2 linked regions of the Schizosaccharomyces pombe genome follow. The gene in region 2 interacts genetically with the main gene of each other region. Each region holds a gene or a part of one and is shown on either strand. Other genes may lie near its edges. The genes, in order: ate1 and ade10.

Region 1 (3,926 bases), on a different chromosome or scaffold from region 2:
TGTCATCGAAATCTGGTGTTTGCTAATACTCTATAGAATGAGAACCTAGCAGTAACACTTGAGAAAGAAAAAAGAAGAACAATTAAAGTAAAATCTCTTCTCTAAATGATAAAATCCTTTCTCACCTACTATGCACTGTTTTGCGATTATATTAAGTCGTGAAGTACCGGTAAACCCGTTTTTGTGTTTGGTTGCAAACAACTCGTAACGGAAAAGCCCACTAAGTTATGTTAGGGTGACATTTTAGGTAGCGTGCAGTTATAAATAATTACAAAATAAATATATAAGCCGGCAGTATTTTATATTATTAGAAATGCTATCAACTTCGATTAAGGGACATAAAAGAGGAAACTATCACACATAAGTAGTAGCATAAAATTAACTTAATTCTGTAAGTCACATTGTAAAATTTACTCTCAAAGCCATCCTGGAGTTCATTAAGATTTTTAAGTAGGATGTTCATATCTTAAGCAAATAAAACACGTAGACAGATAATATATCAACTAGATAAAACAAGTGTATAACTCTTTGCGACTTCTTCGCCCACAGCAGCATTGATTTCAACAAACCAATGTTTAACCTGAGGGAAATAACTTAAAACATGCTGAAGAATTAGCATTGTTACTCAAAAATAAAGACATACTCTTGTGGGGAAAGTTGAATTGCCAATGTTAGCAAAATTCTCCGAAACCAAGGACTCAGCAACATTTACTGAAAGAATTCCAGGAAGCTGTCGATTAAACAGTGTATAATCATCTTCGTTTTGAGATGAATCTTCAGAAGAATCGTAGTCAACAGCAGTTTGAATATCACTATTATTTTCATCCCCGAAACTTATATATTTAGGAGCACCAGTATTCCAAAGTGAAGTAAAGTTTTCAATTGGTATCCATTTATTTGTACCCTGTTTGTATTAGTTCAAGTTAAAATCGAATGTATACGTACGGGATTAAGCAGGTACGATGGACTATACGTTGCCTTATACTTCATTTTGGGACATGTGTGAATATAATAACCTGCAAGGTCAATCAACGTAATTAAATAAATGACATTTTAGCCTACCCATGTAGTAGTACCGATATCCGCATTCAAGAGCAAGCCAGATTTCACGGCAGGCACTAATCCTTCCCAGAGAAAACTTAGACATATCAGGATCATAAAACAGATAAACGCTAGAAACACCATGTGGTAGCAAGTCTAAAACTCCAACTGCCACAAGCCTTCCTTGAAATCGATACATCTGATGATAAGAACCATACTTTATCCCCTTGTCTTCATTAAATAAAGGAGAGTTGCAAAGAAACCTGCTAAATCCTTTTTTCGTGATTTCCTCTTCTTTCTCTAAATGAACTTGCATTTGATACTTTTTGAAGACTTCAAATTTCTCATCGGTGTAAGTGCAAGGCTCCATAGTTACAGAGTATTTTTCAGCTCCGAGCGATTCTATAGTTTGAAAGGCATTGTTCAAATAATCTGTGCTAATTTCGCTTTTCATAGGTTTTAATGGCTTTCCATTTACATATTTGACCCATTTTTTTATTGCCTTCTTTTGCTCTTTTGCAATTTTAAAATTATAGCTGTCGAGTCTTCAACATTCGGCGGTTAGTAATCAATCATATTTGGCGACTTATGCTAAGTACCTGATTGTATAAAGAGAACAGCAAGATGTTTTCCCGTTGGGTTTATATAAATAATGTCCTGAACGTCTTATTTTATATTAGCAATGTTAACTAATAAAGGTTTTTACCTCCATCCCAAATCAATCAATCGCTGGTAGTCCTGAGGTTAAATGTAGGTTAGCAAAATTTGCAAAAAGCAGAGTTATACGCTTACTTCACAACTGAGCTTTTCTGCTAATAAACCAAAATGCTCGGTCTTTCTTCCACTTTTACAATAACCACATTCAGTACTGACGTTGTACCCTGTGTACAACAGTTTATCCAATACCATACTATTGTTTGAAAATTTCCCTGTTTAATATTAAATGAACTATATCATCAGTAGTAAAACTCTTAGTTCAGTTCTTTTGCCTTTATTTTGAAGGCTCTTTGAGTAGGTGAACTAAGACTACACCAATTATTTCTTGAAGATTAAGTACCCTATTTTTCGTTGAGTGCATGTTTATAGAAATTTCCTGATTAATCATATTAAAAAGTCTATCACATTTTCATACGAATATCTAGAAAAAAACCCAAAAAATACATAGTTCTCTTGACACCTTTTACAAGAGTCAATGACAAAAGTGTATACGTCTAATACAACTATAACATGCACTAACGATAAACAAAACATATAAAAAGCGACTAATATTAATATTATCCACGATACCATCCACCAAGTTCTATATATATAAATTAAGTCTAAAAGGTATATCAGTAAACCGTAAATATGTAAAAGACCAACTTCAACAACTAGCACCGTCTAAAGAAAATTAAAGGATAAACAACTCTCAACTTGTCAATCCAAAGAGCGAATTAAAAAATTAGTCTGAAATTATTCTTCATCATCAGAGAAGAATGATTTGGGTTTTTCGGTGCCCTTGGGAGATTGTAACCATGCTAATTCTCTCTCTCTAGCACGTCTTTCTTTGGCCTTGATTTCATTTCTCGTCAATTTCTTCTTTTTGGTAGCTTTAGCCTCAATCTTTTTCAAATCTTTCTCCGACAGATCTTCAAACTTTCCATCGTCAACAGCGGTCTTGCCCTTACCGGTAACCTTACCCGCTTCTACATGCCAGTGTTCAGGACACAACGCAGAAACAAATTCTTCATTATGTGAAATCATAACGACCCCACCTTCCCAATCACGAATAGCAACAGCTAAACCACCTAATGCATCTCTGTCCAAAAAGTTTGTAGGTTCGTCCAAAACCAAAAGCTGGGGGTTATTCCAGAGACACGCAGCAATAACAACTTTAACCTTTTGACCGCCAGACAAACTACTAATGGGGCTGTAATCAGCAATGTCGCCAGGAAGGCCCACATCCTCAAAATGTGCCCTGATGTCTTCGGGAATCAATTCACGGAAACCGAGACCTTCGCGAGAAGATTCCATATCATCAAAAGCCTGTACAAACTTTTGAAACCCATTTTCAAGCAATATTTCTCGAGACACCCACGTATTGTATTTATGAGGCTTCCCAAACCATTTAATTTCATATTGAAATGACTTTTTTAGTTTTTGACGGCCAATCAAAGCTTCCACTCTTCTACGTTCGCCATTGACCGTAATATCACGCTGAAGCTGAGCACGGTCTTCTTCGGTAAGTTTTCGAGATTCCTTCTCTGAAACTTCGCGGTCCTGTCCTCCAGCATAACGCCATTGAATATATTGACTTGGCGTTTTTTCCAGATGTTGATCCAAGTGATGAAAGGCATGCTGAGCAACGTAACCCACACGCAAGTTGGGATGCTTGAAAACTTTTCCTTCTTGAGGGATTACTTCACCGATAAGAACTTTAATAAGCGTTGATTTACCAGCACCGTTAGGACCTAAAATGGCAACACGAGAAGATAAAGATAACCCAACGGTAACATTATCTAATGACTTCTTCTTCGCGTTGGGATATGTATAAGAAGCGTTTGTCATTTTTAATATGAGACGTGTGTTTGAGCGCACACCAGTTAAGATACCGGGAGGTGGAAAAACAAACTTCTCGTTTGTGGCTGTCAATGTATAGTATGATTTAGCTTCCGGTTTGACCTTGACAAAAGCTGAAAGATTACCTTGATAATAACCAAGCTTTTTTGCCTGGTTTTTAACACCTTCATAATGAATGATGTCAGTACACACGTGGTCCAAAAATGAAGAGTCGTGAGAAACTATCAAGCAAGTAATATTCTTTTGAGAGGTTAAATATGCTTCCAGCCATGCAATATTGGCAACATCAAGATGATTTGTTGGTTCATCCAAAAGCAAAATATCAG
Region 2 (3,926 bases):
ACGCAAGGGGATCTCGGAAAAGACCATGTTGAACTCATTAGCAGTGTCGCGAACAGCTTGATCCATGACACTACCGCCAGGTGCAGCAACATATTTGACACCGCTTTGGGCAAGACGATAGATGTTGTCAGGGAAGGGGAAGAAGGCATCACTGGCACAGACAACATCCTTGCAAGTAGCCAAAAATTCCTCCCGCTCCTTTTTAGTAAGAGGCTCGGGAATAGTCTCGAATGCAGACTCCCATTGCTCACGTTCACTACCTTCAGCAGGAACGGCATCAAGGACGTACAAGTCAATAGCGTTAGATTTCTCAGGACGCTTAGCAGACTTCTTAAATTGCATACCCAAGACTTTAGGGTGATGACGAAGCCACCAGTTATCAGCCTTATCACCGGCCAAACGGTTGCAATGAATGCGGGATTGTTGACCAGCACCAAGTCCAACAACCATACCATTCTTAGCATAGCAAACAGAGTTACTTTGAGTATACTTAAGAGCAGTGGTAGCAATAACCAAATCAATAAGAGCAGATTTGGGTAAATCCTTGTTCTTACTAACAACTTTCTCAAAAAGGCTGAAGTCAATCTTGGCATGGTTGCGATGCTGTTGTAAGCTAATACCGTAGACCTGGCGAGTCTCAATTTCGGCGGGAACATACTTGGGGTCCATTTGCAATACACAGTATTTACCACCCTTCTTCTTCTTCAACAACTCCAAGGCTTCGGGCTCGTAACCGGGTGCAATAACACCATCGGAAACCTCACGAGAGATAATACGAGCAGTGCAAACATCAACTGTATCGGAGAGAGCAATAAAGTCACCAAAGGAAGACATACGGTCAGCTCCACGGGCTCTAGCATAAGCACAAGCCAAAGGAGTGAACTCGGTAATGTCGCTAACAAAGTATACCTTCTTTTCAACATCAGACAAGGGTAGACCAACAGCAGCGCCGGCAGGAGAAACATGCTTAAAGGAAGCAGCGGCAGGAATACCGATGTTTTCACGAAGCTCTTTGACCAAAGGCCAAGAGTTCAAAGCGTCCATAAGATTGATGTAGCCAGGGGAACCACATAAAACTTTGAAAGGAAGGGGTCCTTGTTCCATAAAGGCTTGGGCAGGAGATTGATGGGGATTAGCACCATAACGGAGAGTCAATTGATCAACGCCAGCAGCATATTGCTTGCGGAAGTAATCAGTGATGGCAGCATCGTAAGAAGCAGTAGAAGCAAAGGCCTTCAAAGCATAAGTATTTCTGTCATCTTGAGTAAGTTTGTCTGACAAAAACTTATCAGTGAAAGTCGCATAATCAGCGGGATCGCTCAAAATGGTTACACGAGCGTGGTTCTTTGCAGCGGCACGCAACAAAGTAACTCCACCAATATCAATTTCCTCAACAGCTTCAGGAATGGTAACGTTAGGCTTGGCAATAGTTTCACGGAAGGGATAAAGATTGCAAACCACGATATCGATCTTCTCGATGCTTTGTTCAACGAGATCCTTTTCATCGGAAGGAATATCACGAGCAAGAATGCCTCCATGGACAGCAGGATGCAAGGTCTTTACACGACCACCCAAGATCTCAGGAGCATTGGTGATCGAAGATACATCAGCGACTTCCATTCCACTCTCACGGATCATCTTGGCAGTACCACCACTGCCCAAAAGCTTAACGCCTTTGCTTGTTAACGCTTTGGCAAGTTCTAACAAGCCAGTTTTATCGTAGACACTTAACAAAGCATACATTTTTATCCAAGAATCCCGTTTGCGACCAAACTAAAAGTTTTAGATGTTAGTTCAGCTGAAAATTGCTGCACCCCAAAGTACGACTTTAAGTGTAAGAACTTATTATTCAAAAACACGCTATTGATTGATAACGAAAACCAACAAATTTATAAGGTTTGCTAACAGTCTCTCATTATGTCTGAATTTGTGATAACAGAAGAGTCTGTTACATGTAATAGGGTAATTTTCTTCAATACGTTAGACTACGCTACTAGTTTTGTTCATGTCGATGTTTTGACTTCATATGGAAAAATTCAAGTATTGTTCGAAGCAATAGTGACTGCAAATGGAGTTTGAATGTGACAACGGTTAAATCCACATGCCAGTCTGTTTTGAGTGTTGCTCTTTTAGACCTAACAGGCAATGATCAATCGTGCATGTAGTCAATCACCAAATTCACTTACAGTCATTGTCTGAGCATTTTCTACTAATATCCTAATGTGTTAATCATATACAAAGATGATAATGAAACCGGCCATCGGCTATTGATTCTTGGTTCTCAGAAATCTACAGCTCAATCATGCAATACTGATATTACAGAAAAAAATACTTTCATCGTATGAGCTAACTCACGTAAAATCATTCAATTTTTAGATACGACAACCTCTTTGCTTGTTTATTTTTGAAATACTAAATTGCTTGCTTCAGTCTTTATAAATAAAAGTATAATCATTAGATTTCATGATTAGCATAGAATATAAAAGAAAAACATCACTAGCAAGGAACATTTTTCAAATTAAAATTCAAAAACAAATCGTTACAAAAAGATGCAATTTATAAAAAAAAAATGAAAGTACACACACACGGTTAAAGAGTCAAAAAGAAGAATTTAATTTTATTTTGCTCAAGCTTATAAGAATCTGTAAAAAAAAGTTAGTAAATTATTCAAATAATAAGATTTCATGGAAAAGCACTTGAAACAATAGAAATATTCAGAGATCGGATTTGGCTTCCGGGTCAATCGTCACAGATTTCGGATAGGGGCGACACAAATTGCTCATCATAGTAATATTTTTAACATTGTTTCAGCGTTTTAAAACTCAAGTTGAAATTACTTACATTCTGTTTTGTAATTGACAAACCACCTCTTGTTATGAGCTTCTACTTATATAATCCTTGGACAGTCACAACCCTGCCCTAGTATACTGTTAAAGAATGTCAAATAGTCATTAAAAATTATTGAAATTTCGATCATTTAGGTTATTGAAGTATTATGTAGCAAGTAATAATATAGTATCTTGAAAATACTTAAGAGAGCTGTAGGTCATATTACCGTACAAATTGATTTTATTTCAAAATCCCAAAAATTCGGCACTTAACATGTAAAATTACTCCTTTTGCAAATTTACTAGATTTCTTGTTTTATTTAGCATTCATAATATATTGCCATGGAGTTAAAAGGATAGTTGCAAAGAGCTCTCTTATTTACGGAGCCAGCTTGAGGATAGGTACGGATTTTGTAAATGAGTAGTTAAACAGTAAGTCAATGCGAAAGTGTAATGATGTTAGCGATAAATGTTAATTTAGTTATTTTAAACCTATATTATTCAGCCCAATTATTAAGTTATTTTGGATTTGGAATGCGCTCATAACATGCAACAAATTTCTTTCCGCCATTACGTGCAACCTTTTTCCCTTCCTCTGTTTCGTTTGTCATCAATGTAACACATATATCGTTTTCTTCTTCTTCTTTTGTGAATCGTCGAAACAAGGGATGCGCGTCGAGATGTTGAGCCATCCAAACATGTAGCTCTTCCACGTCTGTAATGGTATAAAGCGTTCCATGGGGTCGAATGAAATAAGCATACTCACTTGCCAAAGTACTTGTGATAATTCTATTTTTATGTTTACGAGCCTTGAAGTGAGGATCTGGAAAGCAGAAAAACATTTTTGAGAGTTGCCCTTTTTCGAAGAAATTTGGAAGGAACTTTTGGCAATTCATACGAAGAACAGAAATGTTTTTGTATCCCCCTGGAACCGGCTCTTCATGATCTGCACGATAACGCAATGCTTGTATCTTTTCTTTCAAATAGTCTGAAACTTGCATCCGGATTTCCATGCCTAAAACTAATGTATCAGGAAACTGGGGACCAAGTGCAACAGTAAGACCCCCGTAGCCGCATCCTATGTCTACGATCTCGACC

The links.
Region 1: mutations in ade10 (region 2) and ate1 together harm fitness less than expected from each alone (positive genetic interaction), as found in Schizosaccharomyces pombe (one large-scale study listed by BioGRID).

The regions. Positions count from the first base shown.
Region 1 is NC_003424.3:2,076,781-2,080,706, forward strand, and holds ate1 (arginine-tRNA--protein transferase), read right to left. Parts: upstream 2,064-3,926; 5' UTR 1,951-2,063; coding exon 1,834-1,950; exon of another isoform or gene 1,780-1,833; coding exon 1,748-1,779; exon of another isoform or gene 1,707-1,747; coding exon 1,641-1,706; exon of another isoform or gene 1,587-1,640; coding exon 1,063-1,586; exon of another isoform or gene 1,017-1,062; coding exon 946-1,016; exon of another isoform or gene 905-945; coding exon 644-904; exon of another isoform or gene 605-643; coding exon 500-604; 3' UTR 327-499; downstream 1-326. Other genes in the region: AAA family ATPase Elf1, read right to left, coding at 2,494-3,926.
Region 2 is NC_003421.2:947,847-951,772, forward strand, and holds the start of ade10 (bifunctional IMP cyclohydrolase/phosphoribosylaminoimidazolecarboxamideformyltransferase), read right to left. Parts: upstream 1,801-3,926; 5' UTR 1,744-1,800; coding exon 1-1,743. Other genes in the region: tRNA (guanine-N7-)-methyltransferase catalytic subunit Trm8, read right to left, coding at 3,347-3,926. UniProt on the Schizosaccharomyces pombe protein: Bifunctional enzyme that catalyzes the last two steps of purine biosynthesis.